Linked DNA regions of Saccharomyces cerevisiae S288C. The protein of the gene in region 1 binds, or shares a complex with, the protein of each later gene. Each region holds a gene or a part of one and is shown in the gene's direction. Other genes may lie near its edges.

What was found.
Region 2: the proteins of TIF34 (region 1) and PRT1 are in contact, whole or in part, in a crystal structure (PDB 3ZWL), measured with the Saccharomyces cerevisiae proteins. Residues at the interface, in NP_013866.1 of Saccharomyces cerevisiae: Lys20 (codon at 2,006), Thr163 (codon at 2,435), Lys164 (codon at 2,438), Lys166 (codon at 2,444), Pro206 (codon at 2,564), Asp207 (codon at 2,567), Thr209 (codon at 2,573), Tyr210 (codon at 2,576), Leu222 (codon at 2,612), Asp224 (codon at 2,618), Ser226 (codon at 2,624), Gln229 (codon at 2,633), Leu231 (codon at 2,639), Lys232 (codon at 2,642), Pro247 (codon at 2,687), Leu248 (codon at 2,690), Glu250 (codon at 2,696), Lys280 (codon at 2,786), Ile281 (codon at 2,789), Phe282 (codon at 2,792), Glu284 (codon at 2,798), Pro303 (codon at 2,855), Gln304 (codon at 2,858), Tyr331 (codon at 2,939), Val333 (codon at 2,945), Glu334 (codon at 2,948), Ala337 (codon at 2,957); in NP_015006.3 of Saccharomyces cerevisiae: Ile703 (codon at 3,801), Gln706 (codon at 3,810), Arg707 (codon at 3,813), Leu709 (codon at 3,819), Leu710 (codon at 3,822), Trp713 (codon at 3,831), Tyr716 (codon at 3,840), Arg717 (codon at 3,843), Ile720 (codon at 3,852), Met724 (codon at 3,864), Met728 (codon at 3,876), Phe730 (codon at 3,882), Ile732 (codon at 3,888), Phe733 (codon at 3,891), Asp734 (codon at 3,894), Val735 (codon at 3,897), Gln736 (codon at 3,900).

The regions. Positions count from the first base shown.
Region 1 is NC_001145.3:556,920-560,472, reverse strand, and holds TIF34 (translation initiation factor eIF3 subunit i), read left to right. Parts: upstream 1-1,948; coding exon 1,949-2,992; downstream 2,993-3,553. Other genes in the region: LDO16 (Ldo16p), read right to left, coding at 1-107; LDO45 (Ldo45p), read right to left, coding at 1-317, 693-1,274. UniProt on the Saccharomyces cerevisiae protein: Component of the eukaryotic translation initiation factor 3 (eIF-3) complex, which is involved in protein synthesis of a specialized repertoire of mRNAs and, together with other initiation factors, stimulates binding of mRNA and methionyl-tRNAi to the 40S ribosome.
Region 2 is NC_001147.6:1,014,796-1,019,346, reverse strand, and holds PRT1 (translation initiation factor eIF3 core subunit b), read left to right. Parts: upstream 1-1,694; coding exon 1,695-3,986; downstream 3,987-4,551. Other genes in the region: PRE10 (proteasome core particle subunit alpha 7), read left to right, coding at 601-1,467; 3',5'-cyclic-nucleotide phosphodiesterase PDE2, read left to right, coding at 4,526-4,551. UniProt on the Saccharomyces cerevisiae protein: RNA-binding component of the eukaryotic translation initiation factor 3 (eIF-3) complex, which is involved in protein synthesis of a specialized repertoire of mRNAs and, together with other initiation factors, stimulates binding of mRNA and methionyl-tRNAi to the 40S ribosome.

The DNA.
Region 1 (3,553 bases):
ACAAAGGAAATGCCCAATAAGGGTATTATGAATAATGAGGAGAAGAAACCTATCACTACGAAAAGGGTTAAGTAAACAAAAAAGAAAAATGTAGCGGTAGAAACCATTATCAAAAAAAGTAGGGAACACGGAATAACAAGTCCAATGGCAAAGGAGACTTTGAACGCTGTCAGGTAAGGCTTTTCTTGGAAACAAAAGTAGATATTCTTGACTGCTTGCTGAACTTTCTGACTGGATTTTTCACGAAGTGCACGGAAATGACTCTTTGATAGGGAAATCCTAATAATAATGCTATCTTGTTGTCCAAAAGTATTGCTTCAAAAATAGGTGATTATGAAATATCAAAACCAGCTCCGAATCTGCATGTCAGCAAACAAGCATAGAAAAAATATCAGAATCCTGCAAGTACATGGTGTCTCTCTCATGATTGTGGTAGCCTTTATCCTTAAAAAATAATTAACCCGCTTGGTTCAACGGGTCAAAAAAAAAAAAGCGAACAAAAAAGTGAGTAGAATTGATTAGCCGCGCTAAGGTCGAGGATCATTGGAAAAGACAGCCTTTTAAATGCAGATCTGATTTTTTTTCTATACTGTGCCTGTTCATTAGTGGAGGTGGTTGATATTGTAAGTAAAAATACGTGTTAGTAATTGGGCAATTTCGTTATGGCGCGAGAAGCTACGACAGACATACCTCACATAGTCACCCACATTGGGGAACCAGTAGTTTAAATAAATAAAAATAATCCAAAATACTTCGTACAAGCTATTTTGTAGAGCATTTAATTTTTCTACTGTTTGCAGACTGAAGTTGTAGAAAACCTGTTTGCATTTTTCAACGAAGGATTGAAAATAGGCGGACAAAGAAGAAGCTGATGGCGAAGGCGGTTTAATAGGATAGTGACGCGATTCTTTCTCGTTTTCGTCCTCCTGTATTGCAGCACTTGTGAAGGCATAGCTTAGGAGCAGCTTTTGAACTTCAGCCTCAGTAATAGGCCCCGAGCTTTTTGTCATGGACTTAAATTTTATCGATAATTCGTCTTCGCCATCATCATGTTCGTCTATTGGCTCTAATTTTTGCTGGTGCTTGAATTCTTTCGCTGGTATAGGATTCTCGTGGTTTTCCGTTAAAGGTGTTTCAGTACCCATGTTTAGATCGATTGTTTTTTTATGTAATTCCTCTGCAACGAGCACATACGTCGCATTCTTTTCTTGAGCGGCACTCGTTACCAAAAGGGACTTTTTCTTGTTATTCTTTCTACGATTCCTGGCTGCCATCGGAGTATTGGATGTTTTTCAGATGTCACTTTTTATTTTAATCGTCTTGAAAGTACAGATGAATACCAGTTTTGTGAGTAGTCAGATTTTCTTTTTTTTTTATCCATCGTAGCCCGATCTTGGTTCTTTTGTTTTTCTTTTTTTTTTTTTACATATATACATATTACCCATACAGGAGATATCTCCAACATATTTATTAATAAAGAGAAGATTGTGGAAGGGTTGAAAAACTCGCTTGAGCTGATAAAACCCTACACTACGGTGTAATTGATTGAGATGAGAAACCTTATTCAGCGGGTCTCTGTTGTGTTGTCTTATCCTCTGAATTTTCGCGCAAGAAGTACTTTTTCATCACAACTATGGTTATAGACTCAAGCTCATTAACACGCACTTGTAGGTAGATTCCAGAGCATATTTCTTTGTAAATATAGTGGGGTTTCTGTATAGCCGCTGTTCGTATGAAATATATCAGTTACCCCGCGTGCCACCTTCAGTTTCGCATATTTTTTTTTTTTTGTGAAATTTTTTCCGGCCTCTGAAAAATTTCGAATAGTCGTAACTGAACAGAAAAATTTGCAGAAGAGTTACTGATGAACAAGAGGCGAGGTATATCTTAAGGTCGTTAGATAACTGGCCAGGAGAGAAGACAAAAAGAAATAGCACAGACAAGGAATATGAAGGCTATCAAATTAACAGGTCATGAACGTCCATTAACTCAAGTGAAGTACAACAAAGAAGGTGATTTACTATTTTCATGTTCGAAAGATAGCTCGGCCAGTGTTTGGTATTCGTTGAACGGTGAAAGATTAGGTACTTTGGATGGTCACACCGGTACCATTTGGTCTATCGACGTCGACTGTTTCACCAAGTACTGTGTTACAGGAAGTGCTGATTACAGTATCAAATTATGGGATGTGTCAAACGGGCAATGTGTTGCTACATGGAAATCGCCTGTCCCCGTTAAAAGAGTTGAATTTTCCCCATGCGGTAACTACTTTCTAGCTATCTTGGACAACGTCATGAAAAATCCAGGTTCCATTAACATATACGAAATTGAAAGAGATTCCGCCACTCACGAATTAACAAAGGTCTCCGAAGAGCCAATCCATAAAATTATCACTCATGAAGGTTTAGACGCTGCCACCGTGGCTGGATGGTCGACTAAGGGCAAATACATCATTGCAGGCCATAAAGACGGTAAGATCAGCAAATACGATGTGTCCAACAACTACGAATACGTGGATTCCATCGATTTGCACGAAAAGTCCATCAGTGACATGCAATTTTCTCCTGATTTAACATACTTTATTACATCATCCAGAGATACTAACTCGTTCTTGGTCGATGTATCGACTCTACAAGTTCTTAAGAAATACGAAACAGACTGTCCTCTAAACACCGCCGTAATCACCCCATTGAAGGAATTCATTATTCTTGGTGGTGGTCAAGAGGCCAAGGATGTCACCACCACCAGTGCCAACGAAGGTAAGTTTGAAGCTAGGTTCTACCACAAGATCTTCGAAGAAGAAATCGGCAGAGTACAAGGCCATTTTGGTCCCTTGAACACAGTTGCCATTAGCCCACAGGGCACAAGTTATGCCTCCGGTGGTGAAGATGGGTTCATACGTCTACACCATTTCGAAAAATCTTACTTTGATTTCAAATACGACGTGGAGAAGGCCGCCGAAGCTAAAGAGCACATGCAAGAAGCTAATTAATGTTAATTTTGATGCTGATGTTGATGTATAGTAAACATACATATATGCATATACGCACGTATATATATATAAGAATATGAAACCCAAACTGTGGATATTATTTCGTTTATTATGATCTCTCGCATATCTTGATACGAAGTGCAAGTCATTATAATATTTAGACTTTTCATTACGTTAATAGAGAGTCACTTTAACCACGAGGGGAAAAAACACATACCCCTCCCCTTCGAGGTAATCTTCCGGTGAGATCTTCCCTGTATGCAGTTCCCGGGCATAGGCGGGTTTAACATCTTGCTAAAGAACTATCGCACTAACCCTCTGGTACCCAATGCCGAGATTCGGTAATGGGGGCACGGCACTACGGAAAAAAAACTACAATTCTAACTCTACCCCGCCCCTTACGAAAACGCCCTAGCTCAACCATTCCGACCGATAAAAAGTTGCCGCGATCCCGTCGATCGCATTTGGTTTTGAGGTAAAAAAAGAAAGCGACAGGGATCTTCTCCACGATGCTCGAGATGCCCTGGTCCTCGCTATGGCATTACTCTGGCCTCAGCGGTA
Region 2 (4,551 bases), on another chromosome or scaffold:
ATTTAAATAAATATTACCTTTCCTTTTCTTCAATTGTTTCTCATCTCCTTCGGCCTCCGTTAAGTATATGTTTTTTTACGCGTTGTCAATGACAATACCGCAGGATGCGAATGTGTGACTTCGTAATCATCGGTGTGAAAAATACTCTAACTTTAAACAAAGGTAACATCTAAACTGTCTGGAAATATGCAGCTATTCCCATGTATACACACTAGAAAGAACAGTATTTCCCAGGTCCCAGAAGTTCTCTGTATATGTAGTCCTACCCGTAATTTACCCTTTGAAGAGATAATCTGAGCACTCAGATTTCGACCCTGATGGGGTCACTTTTCTGAATCATTGCTGACATTGCTTCTGAAAAGTGTTGCCTGTGTCTTTATTCCACTTATGAGTTGGTAAGCTTCCTCACAATTTATAATGGGTTCCGATAGCTAAATCACGTTTAACGAAGATTTCGCCGCCCCTCTAAATCGGTGGCAAAAATAAGAAAGTAAGTGGTAATAGTGGCGGTAGAGGGTTTATTTGGTAGTGCAGTTGTAAAGCTTTCAAACACATTCGAGCGTCGCATCATCAAATTAACAAAAGCATAACTCTTCAGCAATGACATCAATTGGTACTGGTTACGATCTTTCCAATAGTGTTTTTTCCCCCGATGGTAGAAATTTCCAAGTAGAGTATGCCGTCAAAGCAGTCGAAAACGGTACCACATCAATCGGTATAAAGTGTAACGACGGTGTAGTCTTTGCAGTGGAAAAGCTCATTACGTCTAAACTGCTGGTCCCACAAAAAAATGTCAAGATTCAAGTCGTAGACCGTCACATCGGTTGCGTTTATTCAGGTTTGATTCCTGATGGTAGGCACCTGGTTAATCGTGGTCGTGAAGAAGCCGCCAGCTTCAAAAAGCTGTATAAAACGCCCATTCCCATTCCTGCATTTGCAGACCGTTTAGGACAATATGTGCAGGCGCACACTTTATACAACAGTGTTAGACCGTTCGGGGTCAGTACCATCTTTGGTGGTGTAGATAAAAATGGTGCTCATCTTTACATGTTGGAACCAAGTGGCTCTTATTGGGGCTACAAGGGGGCTGCCACTGGGAAAGGTAGGCAATCTGCGAAGGCTGAATTGGAAAAATTAGTTGACCATCATCCAGAAGGTCTTTCAGCAAGAGAGGCCGTTAAACAAGCTGCAAAGATTATCTATTTGGCACACGAGGATAACAAGGAAAAGGATTTTGAATTGGAAATAAGTTGGTGTTCACTGTCGGAAACGAATGGTCTGCACAAGTTCGTTAAGGGCGATCTGCTACAGGAAGCTATCGATTTTGCCCAAAAAGAAATTAACGGCGATGATGACGAGGACGAAGATGACAGTGATAACGTCATGTCCAGTGATGATGAAAATGCTCCAGTGGCTACGAATGCAAACGCTACCACTGACCAAGAGGGTGATATTCACCTAGAATAGGTGACATTCTGATAATACGTTAAGAAGAACCAAAGAGTTGAAATAATATGAACTCACGTGTAACGCCGCGAAACAAAAAATACATTTTAGTACCTTCCATTACATTTTACGTAACTAGATAAACTTCTCATTGTGCACCATCTTATCATTATTACTTGATCGCCTAATACTTTTATTCTTCTGACACCTATTACCCTCCTTTCCATATTTTGGATAGCGGGAAACTAATGAAAAATTTTCTTCCACGCACATTGAAAAATATTTACGAATTATATTTCAATAACATCTCAGTACATAGTATAGTATCTCGCAACACACAGCTCAAAAGGTCAAAGATAATTCAAATGACTACCGAGACTTTCGAAGACATTAAGCTAGAGGACATCCCTGTTGACGACATTGATTTTTCCGACCTGGAAGAACAATACAAGGTCACTGAAGAATTCAATTTCGATCAGTACATCGTCGTTAATGGTGCCCCAGTCATCCCATCCGCCAAAGTTCCTGTTTTGAAAAAGGCTTTGACTTCTTTGTTTTCCAAAGCTGGTAAAGTTGTTAACATGGAATTTCCAATTGATGAAGCCACTGGTAAGACGAAAGGTTTTCTCTTCGTGGAATGTGGCTCAATGAACGATGCTAAAAAAATTATCAAGAGTTTCCACGGTAAAAGACTGGATTTAAAACATCGTTTGTTTCTTTATACTATGAAAGATGTTGAAAGATATAATTCTGACGACTTTGACACCGAATTCAGGGAGCCTGATATGCCTACATTCGTTCCATCTAGTTCCTTAAAATCCTGGTTAATGGACGACAAAGTGAGAGATCAGTTTGTATTACAAGATGACGTGAAGACTAGTGTGTTCTGGAACTCTATGTTCAATGAAGAAGATTCTTTGGTGGAATCTAGAGAGAACTGGTCTACCAATTATGTTAGATTCTCCCCAAAGGGTACCTATTTGTTTTCTTACCATCAACAGGGTGTAACTGCATGGGGTGGTCCAAACTTCGATCGTTTGAGAAGATTCTATCATCCAGATGTAAGAAACTCTTCCGTCTCTCCGAATGAAAAGTACCTGGTCACTTTCTCCACGGAACCAATCATTGTAGAAGAAGATAACGAATTCTCTCCATTTACCAAGAAAAATGAGGGTCATCAATTATGCATCTGGGACATTGCTTCTGGTCTGTTGATGGCAACTTTCCCAGTGATAAAGAGCCCATATCTGAAATGGCCTTTAGTTAGATGGTCTTATAATGATAAATATTGTGCTCGTATGGTTGGAGACAGTTTAATAGTTCACGATGCTACTAAAAACTTCATGCCATTAGAAGCTAAGGCTTTGAAGCCTTCTGGTATTAGAGATTTCTCATTTGCTCCAGAAGGTGTTAAATTACAACCATTCAGAAACGGTGACGAGCCTTCTGTTTTATTGGCTTATTGGACTCCTGAGACTAATAATTCCGCTTGTACTGCTACCATTGCTGAAGTTCCTCGCGGTAGAGTGCTAAAAACCGTTAACTTAGTTCAAGTCTCCAACGTAACTCTGCACTGGCAAAACCAAGCTGAGTTCCTGTGCTTCAATGTCGAACGTCACACAAAGTCTGGTAAGACTCAATTCAGTAATCTACAAATTTGTAGGTTGACTGAAAGAGATATACCAGTTGAAAAGGTTGAATTGAAAGATAGTGTCTTTGAATTCGGTTGGGAACCCCACGGAAATAGATTTGTTACAATTTCTGTTCATGAAGTAGCTGATATGAATTATGCTATCCCAGCAAATACAATCAGATTTTACGCTCCAGAAACTAAAGAAAAGACTGACGTAATTAAAAGATGGAGCTTGGTCAAAGAAATTCCAAAAACTTTTGCCAACACTGTTTCTTGGTCTCCAGCGGGTAGATTTGTGGTTGTAGGTGCTTTAGTGGGTCCAAACATGCGTAGATCAGACCTACAATTTTACGATATGGACTATCCAGGTGAAAAGAATATTAATGACAATAATGATGTTTCAGCTTCTTTGAAAGATGTTGCTCATCCTACCTACTCTGCGGCTACTAATATCACTTGGGATCCATCTGGTAGATACGTTACCGCATGGTCAAGTTCTTTGAAACACAAGGTGGAGCATGGTTACAAAATTTTCAATATTGCTGGTAACTTAGTTAAAGAAGACATCATTGCTGGCTTCAAGAACTTTGCCTGGAGACCAAGGCCAGCTTCCATTTTGTCTAACGCCGAAAGGAAAAAGGTTAGGAAAAACTTGAGGGAATGGTCTGCCCAATTCGAAGAGCAAGATGCAATGGAAGCTGACACCGCCATGAGAGATTTGATTCTACACCAACGTGAATTATTGAAGCAATGGACCGAATATAGAGAAAAAATTGGCCAAGAAATGGAAAAATCTATGAATTTCAAAATCTTTGACGTTCAACCAGAAGATGCCAGCGATGACTTTACCACCATCGAAGAGATAGTTGAAGAAGTTTTGGAAGAAACAAAGGAAAAGGTCGAATAAATTTCATGAACTTACGGGCTTGTATGTAAACTAACAACAATATCTAGTATAAGTATGAGAATTAGTCTAATATTCATAAATACTACAATAGGCTCTATTATCTTTGTAATCTGCAGGGGTCGCTCTCCTCGTACAAAATTATAAAAGGGTCCTGCGTCCTTTTCTAGTTGCACTTTTCTTTTTTTGTTCTCCGAGAATTTCTTTTTACTGGGCACAATTTTTCCTCTTTTCTTTTTGTTTTAGGCATTATAAAGAAGAAAAATTGGCTTAGAGAGAATATACTTGCAAATTGAAAACTATAGTCACTGTGAGAGATTGGACTAAAAAGCGCAAATTTGAGATAAAGTGGGATCTTCCTGATATTAGCTGTCGTTACTGGTTTTAGCACGAGTTACCGACTATTTTGCGTTTTTCTTTTAAATTATTTTGTTGTCCCTCTTTATCTTTTGCACTGACGCTTTATTAGCCACTAATTAGAGTATCCAGACATTCTTTTTGAGATCACTACTACTTAATTGAAGAAAACATAACCTATTGATATGTCCACCCTTTTTCTGATTGGAAT